Lepisosteus oculatus: one gene and its partners. The protein of the gene in region 3 interacts with the protein of the main gene of each other region in a pairwise test. Links are inferred from orthologs where the notes say so. Each region holds a gene or a part of one and is shown on either strand. Other genes may lie near its edges.

Region 1 (3,751 bases), on a different chromosome or scaffold from region 3:
TCCGTTTCTTTTCGAGAATCAAATCTGGAGCCTATTTTGCGTATAAATAAGGTTTAAATCCAAACGTTTCTTTGACCAACATCGCAGACGTGGACAACCGAAACTAACATAAAAGGCAAATGCTGACAAGATTAAAAAATCCGAGACGAGACAATTTCTTACGTGTCAGCTGCATTCTTGTCCTACAGTAAAAGCTTCCAGTCCCGGTGACCCACACACACACCTGTTGGTTTTGTCCCAGCCGAGTCCTCAGTTATACAGTCAAACCCTCCATTGACTTAGTAGTAAAAAGATTAATTTGAACTGCCTGTTCCCCAGCTCTTAAGCATGTTGGAACTTGAACCGTGTAATTTCGTAAATGAAATAAAATGCAAATATTCAATTGAGGCAACTTCTGAGATCAAGTAAGACTTCGGTTCTCTGATGAAGGTGGGCTGGGATCCGCTGGTCTACAGTGATCAAACGACACCTTATTCCGTCCCGCCCCCACATACAGAAACAGGTGCCCGATCGCGTTTGGATTTCTTTTGTATCTAAACTTTATTATTACCACTTGAAGAGCAACACTGCTTTACTGTGTATTCCAGTGGTCCCAAGCATAATTGTCCTTAGAATATATTAAAACATGGTAATAGGGGAAGTGACTGTGATTTTGGAACACAGAAATCCAGGTGTGAACACTTGGAACATTTGCAATTAAAAACATCAGGAGAGCTGCTACTGGCTCATATTGACACATTTAAAGACATTTTTTCAATTCAATAAGTGGGGTTGGGGGGGCACTTACCATAGGAATCTCCAACCCTGGTCATTCTGAGCCTCAAACCAGATATTATTAAAGATCACCCCTCAATCACCTGTTATGTAAGGATTAGAGACACTTGGTTAAGTAATTGATCAATTAAGCAAGTAATGGGTCAGTGAGAGGACCACTTGTCTCGCTGAATGTCTTAAATACACCAGTTCCTTCAGAAACTGATGATGTAAAGGCTGCCTCTAAAGTCTGGACTGGGGCTTTTCAGGATCAGGGTTGGAGATGTCTGACACAGATCCTGGAGATCCTTACATTTACTTAGTTCAGGTCTCCCGTCTCCTGCATCTAAAGATTTAGAACACTTTGAAGTTATTGATCAAATTGAACAAATAGTTTGTTTAATGACCTTTTCCTTCACAAGATGAGGGGTATTCACATTTTTGTTCTAAAGTATCTTTTACGATACTTAAATTACCTTACATGGCCCACTGGACTGGAAAGTCAGCAGCACCAGAGCTGGCCTCTGGCTTTTTTAGCCTGCTTGTTTTAAGGGGTTGGTCCTGCTCTTGGTATGAGCCACTTTCCTTGGTGGGTCCGAGTGAAGGGAAGCGATTGCAAGATCTGACTCAGAAGCCAGCTGATTCATCTCTGCCCTGCACACACAAGCACCACTCCTTCCCTGCACACACAGACCTCCACCCCCTCTCCACAGTGTGAGCGCAGACCAATCACAGTACACATCGCAGACCAGCACTTCCTTCCTCAAAGCCCGAGACCTGTTTCTCTTTTTCTCCCCCTAGGCAGTGCCATTTGACAGAGTCTAGCGTGACCTTGCAGGGCCAGAACGCCCAGGCTAACAGGATGCTCACCTCCGTCAATATGGCATATTCATCCTTGGTAAGAGAGCGCAACACGTGAGCATGGTGTGGAACTGAAAACATTAACAGGAATACACTGGCACGGCAGTGCGGGTAAGCAGCCCAGTTTTATGTTATATTTCAGCTCCTGATGCAAACAGAACAGGGAGGTTCAGTGCTCACCAGCCAAGTGTATTGTAGGAGGTCAGAGTTCAGAGGTCAGAGGCCAGGGGTAAAACCCAGTTCGTCACAATTTATGCTGGTTTCAGACCCGCGCTTGTCCACAGAGGTGCTATACTACAAAGCCATGTAGAGCATCACTTCCTCATTTTACAGACTCGCCAAACTGTCAGCTGGGATACAAACAGAGAGAGAACCTTTGAGAGAGGAAGCCCAGTGTTTTGGCTAGACTGTGGATCAAGTGAAAGAAAAAGTAAAATAATGTTATTATCCCATAAAGGAGGAATTTTCAGTTAAGTACACCAACAGCATTGTTAATAGCAACGACTTCGAAAGGACGGGTACCCCCTAGAATACATTTGAGTTTATCTAGTTTCTCTGGGGAAACTGATTAATTATTCTTCAAACACAAAGCTTTCATTGTGGTTGTGTAGTTTGGATTCGTATGGGTTTTCATTTCCATTTGACCTTGACTGCAGTGGAGAGCTCAGCTCTGCCTGCAGAACTGCAGCTGTAGCTGGTTGATCTCTAGCCCAGTTGCACTCACTTATCCACAGGCTACAGCCTGGGCTCTTGCTGCGCTTCCCAGAGATATCCGCGCAACACGAATTTCTAAATTCTCTACATCACTCCTTTAAGAAAATGAAAGCACAGATTGATTTTAAAAGACCTCCGGATCTTTCCCCAAGTGCAGTTTGCATTTCTAAGTTGTTGTTTCCAATGGAGACCTCTAAAGACAAAGCAGTGCCTCAGAGAAATATTTCTAAAATTTTGTGCTCTCTCCCCTGTCCCATTCATGACACTGTTCTTCTTCTTTTATTCAGAAATCACTTACAGGATAATCACAGACTAATGGTTAGGAAACAACCCAATTAATCATATCGGAAACGTGCAGATTAATTTAATTGTCGACTGTGCTTCAAAGCTAGGCTTTTATGCATGTCCATATCAAGATTATTTGTAGTATATGAAATGCCCGTATTCTCCATCATAACATTCCAGTTAGAGAACGAGCAAAATTCAGATAAAATATGAAAGCATCACAACTCCTAGATGGCTATAAAATCAGAATGGTAACAAATTAAAAACCCTTCAGCTCATCACACCCGTTTTGGCTGCAAGATCTCATCCATCTGTTTCTCAAGGGTTCACAGGGAATCGGCTTCAATCCAGCATCTTGGTGGCTTGTTCCAGGCACCCATCCCCTGTTTGTAAAAGAGTGCTTTCAATTCTCAGTCCTCAGTGTGCTTCCTCATATCTTCCAGTTGTGCCCGCTGCTCTTTGCAATGAAAGTAAGACACTAGGACTCTGTATACAATATCTATTGACTATACTGTATGTGTCTCATGTCCTTTGCATAGAAAGTAAGACACTAGGACTCTGTTTACAATATCTATTGATTATATGTGTCTCATGTCCTTTGCAATGGAAGTAAGACACTAGGACTCTGTATACAATATCCATTGACTATACTGTATGTGTCTCATGTCCTTTGCAATGGAAGTAAGACACTAGGACTCTGTGTACTCTGTGTCCCATCACAGGGAGACCCAGACTGTTCTGCCAATGGGGGATACCTGTGATGATGGGCAGATGGGTCCCTGCCTGGACGAGGATTATGGATTGACGCAGCCGGCAGCGGAGTCTGACACCCGGACAGGGCACCGTGTCCATCATGCCCCGGCTTCACCACCAAGTCCCCAGCTGGACCCTGCAGCTCTCGGTTCGTGAAACACTTCGCCTCTTTAGAACGCAGTGCTTGAAGCCCAGGCGTGCTGCTGCAGAGCAGAGAAACCGCCGGAATACAGTGAAACACAAACTCGTTTCTAAGAGTCTTTTATTTTTGTCACTGTCTTCCGTGCTTGTGGCCGTGTGTCCGCATGTGCGCGCTGCAGGCGGGGATCTGAGCCCCAGCTCCAGCTCCTCCATGACCACGAAGGAGCTGCAGGAGTACTGGCAG
Region 2 (3,751 bases), on a different chromosome or scaffold from region 3:
CCAGGAGCTCTCCCATCCAGGTACTGACCAGGTTCACACCTGCTTAGCTTTAGGGGGCTGCCAGCTGTGAGTTGCAGAGTGATATGGCTGCTGTGTAGGAATCCCTTGAAATTGTTTTTTGTTTTAATTATATTTTTATCGAATTTCTATTTTTTAAAACGTTCAAGAATAAAAATGCATTCCAATACTTTTTTAACCAAAGACGCAATTGTGACGTAAAACTAAATGATTTTTACAGTACATAATTCAGTTTAAAGTGATCTATAATAATGCAGCATATAAAGATACCATAAAGTACTACTGTATTTCCCTTATAAAGATTATGTGGATGGTCTTGGTAGCAATGTTTGGGTAACAACCGTATTGCATTTTGTGAGGCACAATCATGAAACAATGAACCTCTTTTTTTGATAAAGGGCACTCAAATTGTGGACCAAAAATATTTCCGGTTGGATGCTGTCATAAATCAGGTCGCTTCACTGTATTGTCAGATATTGTAATTCTTGTATTTTCTCACTCAAGGGATGGCTTGTTATCTTAACCCTAACGAACCACAGGTGCATTGAGATTAATGTTATTTTAATGACAATTTTAATTTTAATTTTAATTTTAATATTCAAGATAAGGAGAAAAGCTTTATGGAGAGTAGGAAATGTTTGCTCTTTTACTAAATCTGTATAATTATTAAAATGTTAAATAATCGATAAATACATTGCATTTAAGCTTTGATAAAATTATGTTATTTTATTTTTCTTTTTTTAATGAGAATATTTGCCCGAAACAGTTTTCAATGAGAAGTGCGTTTACTGGCAGGATAAACCAACGTCTGTTCTACACATATTTGTCCTTTCAAATCTGTAAAATACATTTTACCAATTAATAAAGCCACCAGCTACTAAAACATTAGACGTTTATCAACATTCGAAACTGAAAACCATACAAATGTAATAAATAATTACAAATATTATAATTGTGGTGAAATGTTCGAAAGAAGAAAGTAAAATCAGTTTCTGTGTAGTCTAATCTGCGCCAAACTTTTCAAATTAAAACTACAATTACCACAGAGCAGTGGTATTTGGCGCATGCGTTCCCTCAACACCGGGAAGTAGCGGCTAATTTGAAGGAAGTTACCTTCGGATAAACAGTCAAGTGTTGGGCTTGTGTTTTGGATTATTAGTGTCACGGATAAAATGTGACATTTCTGATTATATATTCACTAAATCAATATATGAATAGTACTGTACGTATAGTTTGTGATAATATCGACTTTGTACTCCATTGATCGTGAAGAATATGCAGACAACTATCCTGTTTCCCAAGGAGAAGCACAGCTGCTGGTGTCTTAACGAGTAAGAACGCAAGTTAAAAAAGAAATATTAAAAACGTATAATAGCACTTATTTACATAAACCAGTTTATATTATATTTATATTACCTTGAATTACAATTAATAAGAAGGGCATTCGAGGGGAGATAGCAAGAGGTAAATTATATTAAGATGAGGTGCGTGTTTATAATCTTAGTGTAAAACATTTTGTATGTAAGGCGAGTACCATCTTACGTAATTAATGTCAGTACTTCAGGTAGAACAAGATAATTTCTAGGTTTATTCGCGAACTACCTGCAAGGTTTCCTGGAGATAGATCATGTCGTGATATTTTGTACAACAACTTGGGTTATTAAGTGAGGCTTTGATTGTCAACTGTGGTATTGTAAGCAATCTTATTATTTGACATTTGCTTTTTTTAGGTAATCTTGTACAGCTCAGCATGGAGACACCAAACACAAGGAAAACAAAGCCTGTGTTCTGCACGCCAGACAGCACCTTGAATTCCACACCCCATGGCCTCAGTGTCAAACAGGTGCCAGACCTAGACAGACGTGTGCGGTTTTAAACTCTTCCTATGAGACTCTATGCTCCTTACACTGTCACACTGCCATGGCTGAGGTATTGGTAGAGCTGTTTCCACCAACTTTATTGTCCCAGAAACAGAATTGTGGCTACATGTCAATGTAGGTTTAAAGGCAAACCACTATTTACTTTAATTGGTGTCACTCCTTTGTGTAACATCCATTTCAATTATTCTAAAAGCTTACATAGATCAATACTGAGACAGAAAGGTCTCACATCTTACTGGTTATTATAGAGTGAGTCTGTATGTTGTGCCATTGTGATCCATTTAAATCCATTTTACCTCTGGATTTTCAGAGGTAGCTGTTTTAAATAGTCTGTTTAAATTACATTTGAACCAGCCCTCCTCAATCCTTTAATATATTGGTCAGTTTGTAGGTCTTCTTGTCAGAACGCACTGCTGAAAGACTCTTGAACAACTGGCTAAGTATTTATACAGTAGGTCCCACACTGTTGTTTATTTTGACACGTCTTGTAAATAATATTTATTCACTGCGTTCTTTTCCGAAACGATGTCTGCCTTTAATGTTTTTCAACAGCGCTGACTAACCGAATGCAACCTGAGGTTGTTTCTGTTCTGGTTTTAGCCGATGAGTGCTTCACTGAAAGAAAGACTGAAAAGAACAAGGCGCTCTTTTCATTCCCCATTTACGGTGGCAAAACGGCTTAAAATAGATCCACCCGAGGCAGAGGACGACTCGAAGGTGCAGGAAGTGTCTCCAAAGTCCGAACGTGACCTGGACAGTGCCGGCGGGAACACACTCAGCATTAATAAAGGGAGGCCTTGGGAGAGCCCGGAGGTGACCGATACTTCCAGACAGTGGGATGTGTGCAGAACCGGCACAGAGAGTGGAAACGAAGCAGCACAGAGCAGTTCCTCCAGAGAAAGAGCTGATCCTCCCGCACAGATAGATCTGCTTCAGCTGAGAGACAGGCTAAAGAAAGAAGTCGGAGAAAAGGAGGAAATGCTGCGGAGACTGAAGATGGTTAGAATGTACAGAACAAAGGTATCTCAAGCAATATGTCAGATATCCTCCGATGTACTGTGCTGTAAATTGAACAGTGAGCGGATGTACTTTCTCATTGTGTGAAGTCATGTAATTACATGACTGAAAACATGACATTAAAATATGCTATAAGACTATAACGTTTTGGCTGTGGAGCCTTCTTCAGGTGAGGGCACCCAAAGAAGGCGCCACAGCCGAAACATTGTGTTTCTTGTCTTTTCAGCATGGAATAAACCTTTACTTGTTCCTTTGCAGCTTACGCACGCTGACTCAGCTAACTACTATAACACTAGAGTATTATTGCATTTTAAATGAACTGTAATTGAGAATTGGAACTAAAAAAGAAAACTTCAGGACATTTTGTGATATTTATCTGTGCCGGTTCTGTAGTAATAACTATGCAAATTGCAAATAAAACTTGGAAAATATTTCCATGGTACTGGATTATGCAAATTGAGTACCATGGAAATATTGTCCGTTTTATTTCTTGCAGTGTGAATTAGCTGAAAATGTCTTTTTTTATGTTTAGAATGAAAAATCAATTTCAAGTGAGAGGAATTCAAGTTATGGTGACATGATAAATCTCTGTAGAAGCTGAGGAAAAACCTCAACAGATCTGGTGCATTTTCTACACTTCAGAAAATGGAAGTATTTACAGGCCATATTGTATTTTTCTTTCCAGAATGACCTGGATAAGCTACAGTTTCTAATCAACAAGTGGAGAGGCAGCAGCCAGGCAGTACTATATGAGCTAAAGTCAGCCTTCTGCACTGATGGGAGACAGCTTAGTCTCACACAGCTTATAGATCACTATGGGCTGGATGACCGCATTC
Region 3 (3,751 bases):
ATTACTATGACTACATAACTCAGCATAATGGTGATAATTCCAGAACACTAGCAAAGAATACTGCTCTTGTATCTGGTGTGATAAAACATGCAATCGAAACACTAGATTAAACGCAGTGTCTATATCTCCCTGCACACCTTGACCTGGGCCAGCTCCGCAGGGGGCGCAGTCATGCTCTTGCCCACCGCCTGCCCCCGGGCCTTCAGCTCGTCCACCGTTCGGTACGAGTATTTGGGCTTCTTCTTCCCAGCCCCTGGGTCTCTGCGCCACTGGCCCAGCTCCCGCTGGAAGTCCTGCGGGAAGAGAGGAGATTCTGAACGGGCAGCTGGGCTCCCTGCCTGGCCAGCGGGGGAGAAGTGAGAGGCAGCGGCTCTCGGGCGAACGTGAGACTGGAGTTTCACACGTGACTCAGAAGGGCAGACAGCAACGGGAATTTATTCCACACCTCAGTTAAAGCTGCTGCACAAATGTAAAGATGCAAACCAGCAAGACACAACACATGAATGAAAAAAATGAATAAATGTGCTGTGGCTTTGTACATTTGTATGAATGTGATTCAGCAGAACTAAAAGTGCAGCAAACACCTTTAAAAAAGGACCTGAGCGCTGGCTGCCTTTTACCAGAAAGGAGTAAAAGCTTCACAGAGGTAATCCCGAGGCACACAACCAGAGACTGTTGGGTGCACATTAACAGGCCAGATCCGGAGCCCCACTCACCTTTTCCTCCTCTTCCTCAGAATCCACGATGGGGAAGTCCTGCAGGGACTGCTGGGTCCTCTCTGTGCCATAAGCTCCCACTGCCCCCTTGCCCTTGCGCACCTTAGCCTCAATGGGGTTCACAATACCTGGGCAAAGACATAGCATCTGGCACTGAGGAGCAGCACTGGCAAAAAAAACTCAGTAATGACAGACAACAATGGGCACACAGTCACACTGTCAGGACACTGAAACAAGCACACAGATCCCACAGATCTCTCATCATTACCCTGTGCATTCTTGCCCAGCCCTTTGCCTGGCACGTAGCCCATCTTCTGCAGCAGTTTCTGCCCAATTCCACGGGTGTGTTTCTCCCAGGTGCCCAGGTCCTGCCCACCACGAGTGCCACTGCCAAATGCCCTCTGGGAGCTCTTAAAGTTCCCCCCCTGGTGTGCAAACAGAGAGAAGGCAGACACACAGGGGAAACAGAACCACATCAGTGTGCTGTATTACCCCGGTGGCAACAGCCCACTCTGTATGCATAGCTGTACCTGCAGCAGGTGCGAAGAATGAGTAAGGGACAGAGAAAAGAAAACTCCAGCCACCGGAGCACAAGCAACTGAACTGAAGGCCATATTGTGAAGAGAGGACACTGCAGCGAGCCGTCAAGCAGGATTTACAGAAGAAACGGGAGGTTCTTCCCCCCCAGCCCCTGACCTCAACCCTTTCTCACCGTCTGCAGCCTTCTGGGCGCTGACTCCCGGGGGGGCGCCTGGGGAGGGTCTGCCTCTGGTTCTGAGTCGTCAGATCCCTCCTGTTCTCTCTCCTCGGCCGCGCTCTTCCGGAGCCCCGCGCTCACGAAGCTGACAGGTGCAGTGTAGTCCCTGGACCTGGACACAGAGCAAACCATGTAGGAAACTGCCCCAGATATAAAACATTATACCCACTTTAATAAGGCTGTGAGATTTTCCTGAAGCAATTTTAATAATCCCCCTCTCTGAACTGGCTTCATCACGCTGCTCTCCTCCCCACTGAGAGCTGCTGTGTGGTGAGCAGACTGGTGCAGCCTCCAGGTGAGGCTGCACACTGCTGGTGGTGGAGGAGGTAAAGAGCTTTGAGTGTAGTGTCCAGAAAAGGACTATAGAAGAGTAAGAATTATTATTACTCTACAATACAGAGGATACTTAAGGTTTTTATTTTTTTTTATGATCTGAATGCACTACAGCCCTCGGGTTTGCACTGAATTCACAAACTCCACTCTCTTACACTGACACCCAGATTCAAGCAAACTGGCAGACAGGGGCACGGCGCACCTCTTCCCACCAAAGCTGGGTCGCTCGTCATCGGAGTCGCGCTCGGCCCACACGCCGTATGTCGCCTCCTCTTTGGTCTGGCGGTGCCGGCGCCGGTCGGGGTTGAACTCGTTCTCTAAGTCCCAATCCGTCACCTCGAAGCGCTCGACCTCCACACCCTCCTCCTCCTCCTCGCCCCCCCTCCCGTACAGGTGGGACAGAGACATCCTCTGGGCGGCGCTCGGACTGGCACACTGCGGTCTGCAAGGGAAGGCAGGACCGTGAATGTATTTTTGCTGCTTATAGAAAGATATCTTCACCGTGATAGGAGATCGTTAAAGGATATCCTGTCAGATATTCTGGGATTTAACAGGCACCGAGAATCCAGATCGGGCAAAAAAAAATCGTGTAGTTTTTCAGGTTCTGCTCGGTCGGGTTCCGTTCTGTGGCCCAACGTCCAACACCAGAGTGCGGTCCCGACCAGGGGCGCCCAGCGCATCCGGCACGTCACAGCTCATTTTCAAAATAAATTAACCAGCCGGCAAGTAAGGCGTTTCCCGATTAGGAGACAGAAAACTGGACTCCTTTACCTCGATGGATGACGATTAAACACTCAGCAAACACCAACCTGCTTCCCTGCCGAGTATTTTCGTGGGGAAATTGCCGGACTTCGCTCGAAAACTAAATCTCGCCTTAACCCGAGAAGCGTAAACAGAGCGACTTCCCTCCACTTCCTGAGAGTGCACAGTCTACACCCGTCCCCTAGAAACGTAGACTAAAATTGTCTAGAAAAATAGTCGCCGAATCTGTGCATATACCAAATAATCAGAGTGGAATGTTTTAAATAAATAATGTGCATGGTGATATATGCAAGCCTTGTGACTTCTTGTTTCCTTCTGTTCGTATGATCTGACTCCTACCGGACCCCTCACAGTCGGAACTTTTGTCACGCGTCATAGTTTCCGCCAGGGTCTTTGTAAGGCCGTACGCGCAGTCAGAAGTGCAAGGTGGTGTGTGTTTGGTTGAGGGGGTGGGATCAGTCCAGTGGGCTCTGTGTTCAGCCGGGAGGACCGGTTTCATCTGACAGCTCTGAGGTTCTCTGGTAGCTGAGTGACGCTAAGATCAGAGTGAGCACTGGGAGGGTGGTGGCTGCATTTTACTACTGTTTTTGACACGTTGCATTTATTCTTGATAGAAGAGTGAAAAAGAGCGTACGGCTCTTCGTAAGGTTTGTTCTGTTCGGAGCGAGGAGGGACTTTTTGAGTCAGCGCTCCACACAGACGGTACCGGGGACTGTTCTGAGCTCACGGTTAGGGTTATGTACATCTATACCGTCTCCGTTACGTTAATGCGCTGTGGAGGATCTTGACAATATTTTCAGAGTAGTGCAACACGGAAAACGTGAAATTACGTCAATTAACGGAGCGCTTAAGTTGGACAAAAGCCAGCGCAGGTCCGACCCTAGTCTTCCCTCTCGGCAAGGTCACAGAGCCGTGATCGCAACCGCTGCGCGGAGCCCGGCGGTGCTGACATTGTATCCTGGTCTCCTAGGATCCCAGCTTTCCCAGAGGGATGGCGGGCGGCAGCGGGGAATGGCAGAAGGTACAGCGGAAGAAGGGGAAAAGCCGGCCCAGGCGGTGGGGAGGACAGGGACAGCAGGGTAACTGTGTCCTGGACGATGCACCGGACACTCGGCAGCTCCGAGAGAGGATCACCGCAGCCATGTGAGTCTCTCACCGCGCCGGGCAGTTCTAGGAGGTATGG

Evidence for each region. The genes of interacting proteins can lie anywhere in the genome.
Region 1: the proteins of tfip11 (region 3) and snx20 interact in binary tests that used the Homo sapiens proteins (3 or more experiments, as listed by UniProt). The two-hybrid records come from large-scale screens. The link is inferred for Lepisosteus oculatus from reciprocal best matches to the Homo sapiens genes TFIP11 and SNX20.
Region 2: the proteins of tfip11 (region 3) and sfr1 interact in binary tests that used the Homo sapiens proteins (3 or more experiments, as listed by UniProt). The two-hybrid records come from large-scale screens. The link is inferred for Lepisosteus oculatus from reciprocal best matches to the Homo sapiens genes TFIP11 and SFR1.

What each region holds. Positions count from the first base shown.
Region 1 is NC_090715.1:2,169,405-2,173,155, reverse strand, and holds the start of snx20 (sorting nexin-20), read left to right. Parts: upstream 1-1,280; 5' UTR 1,281-1,725; intron 1,726-3,335; 5' UTR 3,336-3,357; coding exon 3,358-3,514; intron 3,515-3,686; coding exon 3,687-3,751.
Region 2 is NC_090699.1:36,350,011-36,353,761, reverse strand, and holds the start of sfr1 (swi5-dependent recombination DNA repair protein 1 homolog), read left to right. Parts: upstream 1-1,117; 5' UTR 1,118-1,349; intron 1,350-1,748; 5' UTR 1,749-1,768; coding exon 1,769-1,861; intron 1,862-1,868; exon of another isoform or gene 1,869-1,938; coding exon of another isoform or gene 1,939-1,947; intron 1,948-2,498; coding exon 2,499-2,918; intron 2,919-3,600; coding exon 3,601-3,751. UniProt on the Homo sapiens protein: Component of the SWI5-SFR1 complex, a complex required for double-strand break repair via homologous recombination. Acts as a transcriptional modulator for ESR1.
Region 3 is NC_090717.1:14,668,336-14,672,086, reverse strand, and holds the start of tfip11 (tuftelin-interacting protein 11), read right to left. Parts: upstream 2,732-3,751; 5' UTR 2,578-2,731; intron 2,249-2,577; 5' UTR 2,215-2,248; coding exon 2,009-2,214; intron 1,586-2,008; coding exon 1,429-1,585; intron 1,142-1,428; coding exon 985-1,141; intron 845-984; coding exon 717-844; intron 294-716; coding exon 138-293; intron 1-137. Other genes in the region: srrd (SRR1-like protein), read left to right, coding at 3,560-3,711. UniProt on the Homo sapiens protein: Involved in pre-mRNA splicing, specifically in spliceosome disassembly during late-stage splicing events. Intron turnover seems to proceed through reactions in two lariat-intron associated complexes termed Intron Large (IL) and Intron Small (IS).